4 linked regions of the Mus musculus genome follow. The protein of the gene in region 1 interacts with the protein of each later gene in a pairwise test. Links are inferred from orthologs where the notes say so. Each region holds a gene or a part of one and is shown on either strand. Other genes may lie near its edges.

The links. The genes of interacting proteins can lie anywhere in the genome.
Region 2: the proteins of Rel (region 1) and Polr2l interact in binary tests that used the Homo sapiens proteins (3 or more experiments, as listed by UniProt). The two-hybrid records come from large-scale screens. The link is inferred for Mus musculus from reciprocal best matches to the Homo sapiens genes REL and POLR2L.
Region 3: the proteins of Rel (region 1) and Leng1 interact in binary tests that used the Homo sapiens proteins (3 or more experiments, as listed by UniProt). The link is inferred for Mus musculus from reciprocal best matches to the Homo sapiens genes REL and LENG1.
Region 4: the proteins of Rel (region 1) and AI837181 interact in binary tests that used the Homo sapiens proteins (3 or more experiments, as listed by UniProt). The two-hybrid records come from large-scale screens. The link is inferred for Mus musculus from reciprocal best matches to the Homo sapiens genes REL and C11orf68.

Annotation. Positions count from the first base shown.
Region 1 is NC_000077.6:23,743,470-23,746,980, forward strand, and holds part of Rel (proto-oncogene c-Rel), read right to left. Parts: intron 2,382-3,511; coding exon 2,277-2,381; intron 2,173-2,276; coding exon 1,960-2,172; intron 1,037-1,959; coding exon 968-1,036; intron 839-967; coding exon 770-838; intron 1-769. UniProt on the Homo sapiens protein: Proto-oncogene that may play a role in differentiation and lymphopoiesis.
Region 2 is NC_000073.6:141,472,354-141,476,411, reverse strand, and holds the start of Polr2l (DNA-directed RNA polymerases I, II, and III subunit RPABC5), read left to right. Parts: upstream 1-1,258; 5' UTR 1,259-1,289; coding exon 1,290-1,384; intron 1,385-3,007; coding exon 3,008-3,116; 3' UTR 3,117-4,058. UniProt on the Homo sapiens protein: DNA-dependent RNA polymerase catalyzes the transcription of DNA into RNA using the four ribonucleoside triphosphates as substrates.
Region 3 is NC_000073.6:3,663,041-3,667,266, reverse strand, and holds the start of Leng1 (leukocyte receptor cluster member 1 homolog), read left to right. Parts: upstream 1-1,426; 5' UTR 1,427-1,819; coding exon 1,820-1,951; intron 1,952-3,405; coding exon 3,406-3,585; intron 3,586-4,226. Other genes in the region: Tmc4 (transmembrane channel-like protein 4), read left to right, coding at 89-219, 293-448, 1,087-1,165, 1,259-1,327.
Region 4 is NC_000085.6:5,423,889-5,427,817, reverse strand, and holds AI837181 (UPF0696 protein C11orf68 homolog), read right to left. Parts: upstream 2,675-3,929; 5' UTR 2,650-2,674; coding exon 2,510-2,649; intron 1,882-2,509; coding exon of another isoform or gene 1,868-1,881; coding exon 1,111-1,867; 3' UTR 501-1,110; downstream 1-500. Other genes in the region: Drap1 (dr1-associated corepressor), read left to right, coding at 3,104-3,145, 3,385-3,457, 3,543-3,636, 3,927-3,929.

The sequences.
Region 1 (3,511 bases):
CCCCACCACAGACAACTGAGGGACAGTGCCCGCATTTATGTACATATTACACAAGCCCTACAGAAACCAGGATAAAGCACCAATGTAAGGGTACAAGACAGAGAGTTTGTTAGGGGATTGCAAAATATCCTCTCTAAAAGGCCAGACAGTTTTAAGGTTTATGTGGGAAGCAATCTCTGTGGGAACTGTCCAGCTCTGTTGCTGTAGCAGAAGAGAGAGGGGACTCTAGGTCTGGGCATGACAGCAGGTGGTCAGCATGCCTGTGGTCCTACCCCTTTTAAAGTGGCCCTGAGAGACAGTACATGACCCCAAGGGCCACAGCCTTGTTCAAAGTGTAAGCAGCTATAAACAGGTGCCTACCACATCCATGCCATTTCTTACATGGTAACAGTCAAATTAGTAAAAGCACCAATGAGCCAGGCAGTGGTTGCACACGCCTTTAATCCCAGCACTCGGGAGGCAGAGACAGGCGGATTTCTGAGTTTGAGGCCAGCCTGGTCTACAGAGTGAGTTCTAGGACAGCCAGGGCTACACAAAGAAACCCTGTCTCGAAAAACCAAAAAAAAAAAAAAAAAAAAAAAAAAAAAAGCAAAAGCACCAGTGTGTGGACAAAATGTAATTTCTTGAACAATAAAATCCCTCAAATATAATTAGTTCCAACACAACCTGCAGAGGTACAGCCTAGCTGCACTCAATAGTGAGAGTGTGCGGGATTGTAGGAAAGAAAGAGACTTAAAAAGCAGTTATTCCTAAAAAGTGGATAAAATACCTTTTTTGATGAATCTTCCTTCTCCAGTTGATCCCAGAGGGGCAGTTCTTGGTTTCTCAGTAAAGTGACCTGGTATGATAAGTTTTTCTATTATTAAGTGTAATTTGAAAAACAGCTTATCACTTAAAAAATTTAAAAACAGAATAAAGCAAATAAGACACATTTACTTAACTATAACTCAATCCAAAATATTCTTACCACAATCTTGCAGCAGTTTCTGAAAAATCAGAGTTGTTTTTTGTTTCTTTGATTTATTGCCATATGCATCTGATTAAGAAAGAAAAGTGGGAAAGCGGTAAGTCATGGGATTCTTCCTTCCTGCACCAGGAACAAGCGCCTTATCAGAGTGTGGCAATGCTTAAAATACATGCGAACAGTACAGGCTGGAAGTATGCTACTGTACAATACATCCAGTACCAGTTATAAAGGACACTTTACTCTTAATTTTAAAAAGCTTAAAATAATAATTTTTCATCCTAAAAATAACTGTAAGTCAACATGAACTAACACATTGGACCAAAATAGATACAACTTTATGATTACCAAATTTCCCACCTATAAAAGGGTATAAAAAGTACAGAAAATAAATTCAAAAATACATATATAGATGGAAAATATAATCTAACAGTTTGAGAACAGCACTCGGGAGGCAGGTGGATTTCTGAGTTCGAGGCCAGCCTGGTCTACAGAGTGAGTTCCAGGACAGCCAGGGCTACACAGAGAAACCCTGTCTCGGAAAACCAAAAAAAAAAAAAAAAAAAAAAAAAGAACTCTAAAATTATTCAAACTCTTAAGAAATGCAAAGAGTAGGAGAAAAAAAAAAAACCCAAACCAAACCAAAACACACAAGTGAAAACTTCTAGGGGAAAAAAAATACAGATTCTGAAGATATAAAACTGCACTCGAATGTTTATTTTACAATATTACAAGCATGATCAGCTTTAGACGATCTGTCCTTCAGCAGAGACTGTCACTTGGTCAGCTCATCACTTGCTAGTGTACATAAAAGTCTAAGTCCAATTCCTAGCAGCACATTTAAAAAGGCAGCAGGGACAGCACAAGGCACACTGCTGTAATCCCCACACTCAGCTAAGATCCATCTGTAGCTACATAGCTGTTTCTAGTGAGCACACACACACACACACACACACACACACACACGTATACACATTACTCCCAACTTGCCATACCTTTTTCATCTGGCAGGTATCTGAAATCCATAGACTCACTAACTTCCTGGTCAGAAGGCCTCCGCAGCTGCATTTTCACTGTCACAGGCTCCAGTATAGCTTTGCAATACGGAGGAGTCTTGAAAACAATGGCTACTTGGCGGTGTACATCAGCTTGTGAAAAAACACCTCTGGCTTCCCAGTCATTCAACACAAAACGAACTTCTATATCATCTAGTGAATAAGATGCCAAAGAATAATAACAATGGGGAAACGGTACAATACATATATTAATCAAATATGTACTACTAATTCAATTAAACAAAGCTGATAAATACCTTTCTGAACTTTGTCACAAAGCAGAAATATTTCATCTCCTCCCCTGACACTTCCACAGTTCTTGTTCACACGGCAGATCCTTAATTCTGCAGTATTTGGGGCACCTAAATGCAAAGGATTAAAAAAAAAAACATTGGGTCTCGGCATTGTCTTAGTTAATGTTAGTTGTTGTGATGAAACACCATGACCAAAAGTCGCCTGAGGAGAAAAGGGTTATTTCCCTCATAGTTCCATGTAACAGTGCATCATCAGAAGCAGTGAGGGTGGATGGGAGAGAGGGTTCAGATGCTCTTCCATAGGTCCTGAGTTCAATTCCCAGTGACCACATGATGGTTTACAATCATCTGTAACGGGATGATTTTTTTTTTTTTTTGGCATGTCTGAAAAGAGCAACTGTGTACTGATATAAATAAAACAAATAAATCAAAAGAGAAAACGAGCAGTGAGGGCAGGAATCTGGAGGCCGGAACCGATCCAGAGGCCCTGGATGGGTGCTGTTTAGTGGAGTGCTCTTCATGGCTTGCTCAGCCTGCTTTCTTACAGAACCCAGAACTACCAGCCCAGGGGCGGCCCTACCCACCATGGACTTGGCCCTCCCCTGTGAGTCACTAATTAAGAACATGCCCCACAGGTTTTCCTATATCCAGATCTTCCAAGGAGAATTTCTCAATTGAGGTTCCCTCTCTGATGACTCTAGTTTGTGTCAGTTGACATAAAACTAGCCAGTACAAGTACAAGGGGAAGAATTTCAGGAAAATAATTTAGAGAATAGATAAAATTTTAATGTATAGATAAAGGAAACTAAATGTTTTTTGTGTGTATTATAGCTATGTTGTGGTATGTCTGAGTGTAGTTATGTGTGTATTATAGCTATGCTGAGGTATGTCTGAGTGTAGTTATGTGTGTATTATAGCTATGCTGAGGTATGTCTGAGTGTGGTTATGTATGTATTATAACTATAGTATGTCTGAGTGTGGTTATATGTAGGCCCAGGTGAGCATATGTCACAGCATATGTGTGGAAGAGGTCAGAGGACAACTTCAGGTGCTTGCTAGCCCTCAACTCCTACCTCTTTTGAGACAGTCTCTTTGTTACTTATGGCTATGTACACCAGGCTAGTTGGCCTTTTAACTTGAGCAGTTCTTGCCTCTTCCTCCTGTTTCTTGGTAAAGGCACACTGTGAATAAATGAGTCATTTTATATCACTGGCTATATCCCTAGGGCAATGCAGTTC
Region 2 (4,058 bases), on another chromosome or scaffold:
CCCACTGCCCCCTCTGGCCAGGGCAGGATGTTGGGGGGAGGGGACAGGACCGGGAAGTCGCCTAGCTCGTGGCTCTGCACGTGGCTCCATGGGGGATGGCAAAAGCTGCCAGGGAGGCTGTCCAGGGTGACATCGGGGGCACAACCACCAAGCTGGCCAGTGGCTCCGACCAGCCACACTCAAGACCCAGGAGACCCCTCCCGACCTCCCCTCCATCGTTTGTTTCCCAGAGGCACCTGGAAAATGTCTAGGACCCCCCAGAGCCTTCACTGTAACCAGATCTCAAACTTCCCAAGCTCTATCGAACTTCTCCAGCTTCTCACTGCAAGCTGCCTCGTTTTCCTAAGGGTAGCTCCCAACACACAAGAAGGCGGCCAAGGTGATACACTCCCCAGAAACCAGCTCCTTGCCCATTCCCTTAAGTCCTTAAGTCACGTCCAGGTGAGGCAGACCTGTGGCCACTAGCAGTCTCGCACGCAATCTCCGCGTCTGAGCCAAATATCCCGGGAAAAAGAGGTTAGAAGGTCTGTTCATAGGGTGCCTCCTCCATGACGCCTTCCCGGACCACCGCCCTGCTCCTCTCCCCAGGAAAAGACCCTTCTCAGAGGAGAGGACTGTACTGAGCGCGGGAGGCCGCCGTCGGGGCTCGGGACACCGTACCGCCGACGGTTCTGCAGCGGCCGAAGAGAAGGACGCCCCAAACTCCAAGGCCCGGACTCTGCCTGGGCACCTCGGGTAAGGGCTCCAGACCGAGACCCCTTGGAGTCCGGGCCAGGAGGCGGGAAGACCGCCTTGGCCGTGGACAGTCGGCAGCCCGCTCTCCGGCTGCGCCACCACCACTTGTTAACCACCTCTTGGCTCCAGTCGGCTTGCGATCCGGCCAGCGGGACCCCAGCCCGCTAGAACCGCCGTACCTGTGCGCGCCGCCGCACGGCGGAGCAGCTGTCAGTCAAGGCAACACGAGAAACGCGAACCGCCGGCCGCGGACCTTTCGGCCTTGCTCGGACGCCGTAGCGCCGGGATCTACCACCACAGCGGGAGGGGGGGGACCGGGATGCTGCCGCGGGCTCGGAGGCTCTCGGAGCCCCGGGTGGGCACGAGCAAGGAACACCGCCGCTTCAGGGTAATCATGGGAGCCGGGGCAGGGCTGCGGCGGGATTCAGGGAGATGCGGGGCGGGGCTCTGGATCTTACGGGGCGGAGCTAGGGCGTAATGAGCCCCGCGCTATGGGCGCGCCTGGGGCGGGCCTTGAAAAGCTACTGCCGGCAGCCTGCACGCCAGACGCCGCCATGATCATCCCGGTGCGCTGCTTCACCTGCGGGAAGATCGTCGGCAACAAATGGGAAGCCTACCTGGGTCTGCTGCAGGCCGAGTACACGGAGGGGTGAGACGGCGGGCCGCGGGGGATGGGACAGGACGGGAAGGCTGGACTGGGGGCATGAAGTCGAGGGGCAATGGGGAGGGTTCTGCGGCGGACCGGGAGTGAAATTGAGGTGTCCTGGGCCGGGGGTAGATAAGATTTCCTATGGAGAATTGGCAGGGCAGGGGTTGTGGGGTCTAGTGAGAAGACTGGATGTCCTCCAGCCCAGACCTGTGATGTATTCCCAGAAGAGTGAGTCTTTAGTTTGTTTTCGAGGCAGGATTTCGGTGGCTGACCTGAATTCTCTATGTAAAGCAGTCTGGTCTGAAACACTTCGAAATCCTGCCTGTCTCCTGGATGTTGGGATTAAAGGCGTGCAATATCACGCCCAGGCTCTCAGAAGTTTGGAAGGTGGTTTTCTTCAAGTTGCTGGCCTTTGGGAAACTTCTAAGCATCCTTCCCGTGGGTGACACCTCAAGTCTCTTCCCTGTCGACCTACTCTCTATCCTCTATCTGCTTTCCGACCTACCCCTTATGTACTTCGAACCTCGTGGGCCCTTTAAAATGCAGGACAGGCTTTGTGGGCATCGTCTTGTGCTCACTACTATGACTGTCCCCCAAAATAGACCTCTGGCCACCATGTCAACACCAAGGGGTTCTCTTTCTCTGCACAAGCCATAAGTCAGTGGGGCTTAATGAGCAGCTATTAGATCAGCTCTGATGAGTAGCTGCTAGCCTTCTGGGACCCTCTTTCACTTGGGCAGGAACCTCTCAAGCTGTCTAGGTCCCAGAGAAATTAAATCTAGTGTGAGTTCAAAGCCTGTGGGGTAGCAACAACCAGTTCATGGCGTTTAGTCAGAGTCCACCTGTGGGGCCTGGAATTGTACTCCTTGATGAGGGGATATTGGTCTCCTAAGCTTTCCCAAATAACCCTGGAAGCCCATAACCCTGGGTACAAGAGACAAACGCAGAGATACAGGGGGTTAGAGAGATGGCCCAACTGTTTTTTTTGTTGTTGTTTTGTTTTTCAAGACAGGGTTTCTCTGTGTAGCCCTGGCTGTCCTGAAACTCACTTTGTAGCTCAGGCCGGCCTCGAACTCAGAAATTCACCTGCCTCTGCCTCTACCTCCCAAGTGCTTGGGATTAAAGGTGTGCACCACCACACCCAGCTAGATGGCTCAACTGTTAAGAGCACTGGCTGTTTTGTGTGTTTGGTTGTTTGATTGTTTTTTAAGAGGACTCAGGTTCCGTTCCTTGAAGCAACATGGTATCTCGCAAGTGTCCGTAACTCCTTTGGGCTTTGGGAGCATCAGGCACCCATACACATAAAACGAAATTTTAAAAAACAGGTGTAGGCAGAAGGCTGTTAAGGATGGATACAGGATGCTATGGGAGAAGACTGGCACATGAGCAGGTGTAACTTCTAGGTGGGGAAAGGGTCACCTGGCTCCTCCCTGAGCATCTAGATACATATTTCAGAAATCTCCAGGCCATTTCCCTATGGCCTGGTGTCAGGTTTCAATCGCTGATTATGTAGATGTGCTCTGGTAACCCCTATCCACACGAATACCCAGAGGCAAGCTGGAGGTGGTTCCAAACCTATCCAGACTCTAGAGACCACATCCAGCCTCACTCTTCTCTTTACAGGGATGCCCTGGACGCTCTGGGCCTAAAGCGCTACTGCTGCCGCCGCATGCTGCTAGCACACGTGGACCTGATTGAGAAGCTGCTGAACTATGCACCCCTAGAGAAGTGACCGCTGGAGCCTGCCCTCCTCTGTCTCCTGCTGGCCACGGGCAGCCTGTCGTGCTATGTTCAAACTGAGCTATTGGGGATGTTGGTGTATTGCCTGGCTGTGGCCCTGTGGCTAAGTCCTGTTACCCTGGAAGGAACTGTTTAGTAAAGATGTTTGCAGAACCACCAACAGGTCTAACTTCCAAGGTGCTCCATGTCCATGTCTGTGCTGTCTCTGAGGCTACCTGGCCTGCCTCCAGTCTTTCCCCTAGGGCTGGTCTCCTTCCCCTTCATCTGACTGGGAGTCTCGTCCTGTGGAGGAGTACCCTGCTTCCGTTCCCCGGGGCCTTGACCACTTTGATCAACGAGGTAGCCCTACAGTAGTCTTGTACCACATTGCTTTAGGGCCTCTCCGCTTCCTGCCTGTGTTCAGGATGGGCATAATGGATGTGGGCACCACACCATCCACAGGTATGGATGGGCCCAAGCCTGGTGACAATATTCCTTTGGAATGCTGAGCGTGCTTGGAGGTCCCAATCCTTGTGCTAGGGTTATTATGCATTTGGGTATTTGGTCTGCTTATAAGTCTTTGTATCACTGTGTCCCCACAGAGGCCAGATCCCCTGAGAGTAAAGTTATAGAATGTATAAGCTGCCATCAGGTATTGGGAATCAAACCCAGATTTATTTACCTTTCATTTTCCAAGACAGGGTTTCTCTGTTTGGCCTTGACTATCCTGGAATTCAACTCTGCAGACCAGGCTGGCCTTGAACTAAAGAGATCAGTCTCTGCCTCCCGAGTGTTGAGTTTAAAGGACGGCTTGTGCCACCCAACCAAACCCAGATACTGTAGGAGTACGCCCAAGGCCACAGGCCTCACGAATTTCTTGGGTCCTAAAGCCCATCAGCTGTGTGAGCCTATCTGCTGCCCATGCCTGAGGATCTTGTTTCCAGAATCTTCCCAG
Region 3 (4,226 bases), on another chromosome or scaffold:
AGGCCAAAGCTCCAAGATAAGAAACAGGGAAAAGCAAAGGATTGACTCTTGAGTCTTACACCTCCATTTCCTCGCCTCTCCCTACCAGATAACCCTCTTCTCCATCTACTCACCGGCTTCCCGCACCTTCCGAGCATCCACGGCAAACTTCTTTTTCCCCCTGGTTCTCCTTGTGGGTCTGGCGATCTCTGCAGTTCCCGTGCTTTACAGTATCTTCCTGTAAGTACGAGAGACTTCTGTTTGTTCTCACTCTAGCTCGACTTGACTGAATCCAGTGTGTCTCCCCCTACAGGATCCCACCTTCGAAACTGTGTGGCCCGTTCCGCGGGAAGCTGTCCATTTGGGCCCAGATCCCTGAGGCCATTGAGAGCCTCCCTCAGACTGCCCAGAATTTTCTCTACTTTCTGGGAACCCAAGCTTTTACTGTACCTCTTCTGATCCTCTCTAGGTGAGCAGTCAGACTTTGAATGTGTGTAATTTAGTGTTTGAAAGAGAAAGGAGTTTCTGGGCACCTGAGTGCTAGAGAGGTGGGCTGGGTGCCTATATACAACAGAGACGTGGGGCTGGCCGGGATGCCTATAAATCAAGAGCAGGAGAGTCGGAGTGTGAATGCTTAGGGTCTAAGAAAAGACATCTGGGTTTGGATTCCTGGTCTGAGGAAAGGAGGGCTAGGGTGTGGATTTATCGATTTGATGAAGGGGGAGGAGGTATGGAGCCTGAACCTCTAGTTTAACCTCTGGTTAAAGGGTCTGAACTTTTGGGTCTAAAGAGAGAGGATAAAGACTTGTGTTCAGAGTCTCAAAAAGGGTTTTAAGGGATTTGAGGATCCTGATATTGGTTTCTTTAATTTACTTATTCATTTAATTTTTATGTGTGTTGGTATTTGGACAGTGTGACTGTCTGTGTGAAGTAACGAACTTGAGTTACAATTGTAAGCTGCCATGTGGGGCTGGGAATTGAACCCCGGTCCTTTGGAAGTGCAGCCAGTGCTCCGGTTACGAGCCATCTCTCCAGCCTGGTTTCTAAGGAGCCATATGATGAAGATGATTGTTTTTCTAGAGTGATTTTCATTCCTGTCTTCCATAGCATCCTGATGATGTATACCGTAGCCCTGGCTAACTGTTACGGACGCCTCATCTCTGAGCTCAAACGCCAGATAGAGACGGTGAGCCAGGCTGATTTCCCCGGAAAGGGCTCTATGAGACTATGAAAGAAGAATGAAAAGGTGTGCTTCACTTTCGCTCCTTTTTGCCCGCAGGAAGTGCAGAATAAAGTCTTCCTGGCCCAGCGAGCTGTGGCTCTGAGCTCAAGGAATGGAACTTCCTGATAAGTCTGGCTGAACCTTCAGCCCCTCAGCTTCAGTGACTTCATATCAAGTGATGGGACTCTTTCATCTCTGGAACCAAATTCCCCGCCCTCTGCCACCCGAATGCTACACTCTCAATTGAACCGTATTAATAAACAACAGTCAAGGCCGCTTTGCGTTTTGAAACCCCGTTCTGAAGCCTCGGACGGGGTTTGGGGAGGGGCCAGGTCCAAATCGGCCTGAAGAGCTAGGTTATGTCTGCTTAAAGGAATAGACAGGCAACAGCCTCATCAAGCAGCGTCCGGGGGTGGAGCAACTCAGGTTACAAATGCTTAGGATTGGCTGAGATGGAAGGCTCTCAGCCAATAATCTCTAAACAAGGCTAGGATGGGACGTGACAATTGGCCCAGAACCAATGCACGAGCAAGGGTGGAACCATGGGGCGGGAGCATCCTCGAGCCAATCGGAAGTGCTGAAGAGTGGGCCTGACAGTCCGAGGTCGGCACTGGAGCCATGAATATCTTGCCGAAGAAGAGCTGGCACGTCCGGAACAAGGACAATGTTGCCCGCGTGCGGCGCGACGAGGCCCAGGCCCGGGAGGAGGAGAAGGAGCGGGAGCGGAGGGTGCTGCTCGCCCAGCAAGAGGTAAGCCTGGGGACCGCCCAGAAGCGCGGCGGGCCTAGCTATCACTCGGTGCCGGGAGCGGGTCTGTGTGTTCGACGATGTTTCTCTGAAAATCCTGTGCTAACTTCCAAGAAACCTTCCTAGATTTCCCCACTGGTGTTGAGGGACCAGAGACTAGCATACTGGAAGAGTTGGACAAATATTCTGATTACTTTATAGGTTGCCCGCACAAGTTAATTACTGATCACCCACTCTGTGTATGCTCCCTTCCTTCTGAGCGCTTGCTTTGAGAAATTCCCTCTTAGAACAACTTGGAGGGGTGCGGTCACCTTGCTCTGAGTACAACGGCTTCAGCAAGGAGGGCAAAGGGCGGACAAGCCGGGGTCCACTTCGTTGGGCATGTCTTTTCTCCCTCCCTCATTGCTTGCCAAGAAAAGAGCATCTGGAGGTTTTATTTGGAACAGGGTCTGTGTAGCCGTGGCTGTTATGGAACTGGCTACGTAGACCAGGCTGGTCTTGAACTCAGCTTGCCTGTTCCACTTGAACGCTAGTATTGAAGACCACACACACATCACAGACTCTAAGTTACTCGATTAGTTTGGTTTACACTTAAGTCCCTTGGCCAATCTGATCATGAATTAGTGTGGGCTTAAAAAAAAAAAAAAAAGCCGGGTAGTGGCGGTGGCGCACGCCTTTGATCCCAGCACCTGGGAGGCAGAGGCAGGTGGATTTCTGAGGCCAGCCTGGTCTACAAAGTGAGTTCCAGGACAGCCAGGGCTACACAGAAAAACCCTGTCTTAAAAAACAAAACAAAACAAAACAAACAAACAAAAAGGTGACGCTTGTAATTAATCCCAGATACTAAGGCTGCAGAAAGGGGAGAATTGTGAATCAGAGACCATCCCTATCTGGGGTCAGGTTGTACTTGGAGTGGTGACCTGGAGCCATACCTTGGATTTAGATCCTTTGTCCAGAAAGCAATATTTGATTACCTTACAAGTTTGGGAGTATATACATACTTGTGTTGGGGACTGAATTTGGAACTACACACAAGGCAGGGGCTCTATGGCTGAACAAGCCACCTATACCTATACCTGAGTGGGTTTTCCTTGCATCACTTGAGACTGGGAAGCCTTCTGTTTTAGGTCAGGGATCTTCTCTGAACTATCTCTGATAGCCCAGTTTACTGTCTAAAAACATCGATTCTCCACTCCAAGTTAGAAATGGTATCTCTTCTTGCTCTCAATATTTGCCCCACCCCCACCCCCTCTTTTCAAGACAGGATTTTTCTGTGTAGTCCTGGAACTAACTCACTCTGTAGACCATGCTGGCCTTGAATTCAGAGATCCATGTGCCTCTGTCTCCTGAATGCTAGGTTCAAAGGTGTGTGCTACCACTGCCCTCCCTGCCCATGGACCATTCTTGTATCCTCAGCACTTCTGGGTTCTGAATGTCTTCCCTATAACCCTTCATAGGCCCGTACGGAATTCCTACGGAAGAAAGCCAGGCAACGAAACTCAGTGCCTGAGCTGGAAGCAGCAGACCCAGGAGCTCCAAGTTCTGGCCCTGTGGACCTGTTTAGGGAGCTGCTGGAAGAAAGGAAAGGAGTTCCCAGAGGCAATAAAGAGCATGAGGAAGAGAAGCGACGGGAAAAGGTAAGTTGGCCTCATTTTTTGGTGGAATCATGGGGGTGGGGACTGGCTGTGACTGTTAGGATATGGTGATAAGCACTCTAAAATTTTTAGAATATGACTGAGAGATATTACCTGTAAGTTGGTTACTGCTGTACAGCACTTAAACTGGCTAACCTTTTCCCATGGGACTAAAAAAAGTCTTAAGCTATTTTATTTTTGAGATGAGGTCACAACTACACAGACCAGGGGTGCTTTCCAATTCTCAATCCCCCTGCCTTGGCCTCCTGAGCCAAGTGTTGGGATCATAGGCACTCATCTCCAGACAGCATTTGTGCTTTTCAAACTGACTTGTACTGTGGCTCTCCTCTCTCTCGTCGAACTTTGAAGGTGCTATCTCCCACTGAAAAATCACTCCTCCACTTTGCTTTTCTGCAGGTTTTTCCTTAAACTGTTCCCAAAGCTTCTCCCATCTTCACTACTGCACAGGCCGCAGCCTCTCTTTCTTCCTCCTCCTGCAGATAAGCCCCTGGTGCTTCCTGAATGGTCTTCTGATCTCCCTTGTTAAATGACTGTCTACCAGTCCCCGTCTCCAGAAATTTGAGCCCTGGGTTTTTCTATTGCCACATCTAGGGCTCCCAGAGGGACTGAAAAGACTATTTTGT
Region 4 (3,929 bases), on another chromosome or scaffold:
GAGTTACTGGCCAACCTAAGGTACATAGTAAGTTCTAGGCCAGTCAAGGCTACATCGAGAGACTTTTTTTTTTTTTTTTTTTTTTTTTTTTGTCTTTTCGAGACAGGGTTTCTCTGTGTAGCCCTGGCTGTCCTGGAACTCACTTTGTAGACCAGGCTGGCCTCGAACTCAGAAACCCGCCTGCCTCTGCCTCCCAAGTGCTGGGAGAGAGACTCTTTCTTAATAAAATAAAATGTAAAACAAATATACCTTGGGACCAAAAGAATATACCAAAAAAGGCCTTGGGCCTTTCTGGAAAGACTTAAAAAACTGATTTTGATCCATGGTTACAGAGGGGAACAGCTCTGAAGAGGTTCTCAGCGATGGTGCCTGGCCTCCGCACAGCAGCACACTACTTTCACCACTGAGGGAGGAGGAGAAGGCGGCCCACTCAGGCTGGAGCTGTCTCTTCCGGCCCCATCTTTCCTCGAGAGCCAACACAGATAACCATCAGGACAGTGTTTGTAAAAAACACTCAAGACACAGACCCGAGCTGGGTTTTATTGAAATGTCAGGAGCAGGCACATGTCAAGGTAGCCAGGGAAGGGGTGGTGGTGATGCAGGCTATGAGTTTGCAGGGAGGAGCAGACCCCATGTCCATGACCCTGCGTCTCCTCTTGGCCAGAACATGTACAGGTCCCAATAGCATGCTTAGTCCTGGAAGGGCCCGGCCACCTGGACTATGATGGCGCCAAGGGCAGGGGCTGGAAGCACTAAGTTTTCTCCCTTCTGAGGGAGGAAAGAAAAGGAAGAATGCAGGCTAAGTATAGTGGGGACAGAGGTGGCCAGGACAGACTTCCTCGAGTCTCTGCACCCAAGCTGTGGTCCTGGGCAGTGGTGGGGAGCAGCATCAAAGAGGGCCGCCGAGGGCCCCGCCCTCCAAGAGCCAGAGCCCCCAACCTGTGAGGGTGGGAGTTGGCCCTGCACAAAGAGAGCAGAAGTGCAAAGGGACTGAGTGCAGGCAGTTCCCACGCCAATGAGTCCTCAGGGCTAAGGAGCTCAGCCTTCTTGGGACAAGGAAGAGAAGAAGGAAGGATCCAAGCAAAAGGTGGTCTCTCCTGCTCGGCCCCATTAGGTCAGTTCTACATTGTTGGCACGGTCCAGCACTCGAGAGCCACGGGTATTGCCTCCAAGCTGGAAACGGCTCTCATAGAGAGTGGGGCAAAGGTGCCAGCGGTTGGCTCGGTAGATGCCCAGGTAGGTGTAGACATCAGGTTTGTAAGTGAGCAAGCACTTAATGCCTGCAGCACGAATGGCAGAATCTGCTTCCAGCACACCCAAGCGGTCCGTGAAGTCGTCCGTGTAAACACAGATGACCTGGCGCCCACCCTCTTTGGCCCGTGGGCTCACCTTGGCCACCTGGAGACGGCCCTCAACTACAGCCCGGGCAATGCCAGCCCAGGCGTGGTCCAGCTTGAAGCCAGGTGACAGGTGAATCAGCCACTTGCCGGAGAGCACATGGTGGGTGATGGCCAGCTGGCGCAGGGTACCTGGTGTGATGGGTCGCCCACTGGTCTGCAGAGCCTCCCAGGCCGCCTGCAGCCCTTGTACATCCCCTGAGTTGGGGGTGTAACCCTGCCCATAGGCTGCAATCCAGCCCACAGGTTCAGAGTTGGGTGAACCTGGGTCCCCATAGCGAGTAACTTGAGATGGTGGGTACTTGGCCAACCAGGCATCCAGCTCTGTGGCAGGTGTGGTACGGGCATCAAATACCAGCCAGGGGTCCATATCGGCTGCCATGGCCTCTGCAGCCAGGTGCTCAGCAGTGAAGCCATCCTCCCGGCCACCTGGAGAGTCTTCCTCTTCCAGCTCCTCATTTGGTTCCATCCTGTTGTGAGGGAACTGAGTCAGAGGTTTGAGACAGTAAATAAAAAGTGCTGGGTCCTGGAGGGTGCCAGGCACTGCAGTAAACTGTGGCCCTGGGCAAGACATAATGTCTGTGCCTCAGTTGCTTCATCTTCACAATGGGTAACAACTGATCCTGTCTAGATTTGTCTCCAGAATAAGACGCCTGAGGTGGAGTAGCTATAGTTAGTACTACTTTCACTGCTTACAAACAAGGAAATTGAAACTCTTAAGAAAAGGGGCTTGCCCAAGGTCATGCCCGTAAAGAGCGCCAGAGCTTAAGTGTGAACTGGCACGGGGCTCGGCTACACCACCGGACTAGAGTCCTGCAAGGTAGCGCGGCGCTGCAATATAATGGACGTAGGCAAAACGCAGGGTCGCCAACCTCAGAGGATGGCTGTAGAGGGCCAGGCCTCCCCCGGTGAACGATTGGGGGCACCGTGAAACACCGAGGCTCTGAGCCCCAGAGAGGGCAGCGGCCCATCAGGGGGTCAATGGGTACCATCCAGACTCGAACCAGATAGGACCAGGCCTGCGCGAGGACCAGGCTCCAGCCCTACCACATCCGCCGCCATTAGTGCCCACAGCTTAAGGGTTGCCGTCCCTCTCGCCACCCCGCAGTCACCTCCGGCCTTCACTCCGTTCCGCGCCAACCCAACTTCGGGCCCGGCTCCGTTCCTGCCCGGGATCTGCTGCGCCGCCGCCGCCGCCGCCGCCACCCCCGCCGCGCCCCGCCCCTGCCACGGCCGCCGCCGCCGCCGCCATCTTAGGGTCCCGCCACCTCAACAACAACTTTATAGACAAACACAGTCACGGGGCGGGGCCAGAGGCGGAACCAGAAGGCTAGGGGCGGGGGCTCCAGGGGAAGGGGCGGGCAGCGTCCAGGGGCGGAGCCGGCGCGAGAATCCCGGGAGGTGCAGGTCTTCGGGAGGCGGAGCTAACGTTCGTACTTTAGCTTGGGGGGCGGGTGGGCGTGGCGGGCGAGCCCGGGGAAGGACGCGCACCGCCCCAGAGGATCCGAAGCCCAGCGCTCGAGTTTGGGGAGCTGCTTGTCTACGGGCGGCACTAGGACCCTGCGGGAAGTGGTGTAGGCGGAGTAAACGGCACCAGGACCCGGGGAGGGTGGGGGGGGGGACCGCGGCGGGCCGGCGGCGGACAGGCCCGGGGCCGGGAGGCTGCGGGCGGCGGCGCTGGGCCCGGCGCAACGAGAGGCCCCGAGATGCCAAGCAAGAAGAAGAAGTATAACGCGCGGTTTCCGCCGGTGAGCACGTGGCCCGGATGGGCCCCGGCAGGCAGGGCTCCCGGGAGGCTTGGGCCCAGGTCCTGCTGGTGGGGGGGGCGGGTGCCTTTAGGTGTTCACGGCCTGACGCCCCGCCCCTTCCATGCCCTCCTGACTTAGCGCCCCCCGCCCTCTTCTCCTTCTCCCGGGATACCCCCGGTTCCCTCTGTCCCCCGTGTTAGGGACGCAAGAGACGAGCTCTGTCCTCTTCCTTTCGGCAGGCGCGGATCAAAAAGATCATGCAGACGGACGAAGAGATTGGGAAGGTGGCGGCAGCTGTGCCTGTCATCATCTGTATCCTACTAGGGGCCGGTTGGGCTGAGGGGCGTGGGGCGGGACTGCGGCACTCCCCTTTTTGGATTCTCCTTGACGTCTTCAGCCCGGGCCCTTGAGCTCTTCCTGGAGTCCCTGTTGAAGAAGGCTTGCCAGGTGACCCAGTCTCGAAATGCCAAAACCATGACCACGTCCCACCTGTGAGTGGCCGCCGAGCTGGGAGGGGCTTTTGAGGAGGCAGAGTTCCGACAGGGGGAGTGGTGCAAGGCCCAGGGAGGCCAGCTTTGTGGATTTGGACTGATGCAGGAGAGATTAGGTGTTTCAGGTGCAGGGAATACAACCAGATCCGAGCCACCGGCCCTCCCAGGAGGCCTGGTGGAAGTAGGGGTGTTTTTAACGTTCCACTGTACTGACACGAAGAAGTTGTTTGTATCCTTCCCTAAGTGTTTTGGGGGCCCCATTTGAACCCCTTCCTTTCCCACTTCTTTAGGAA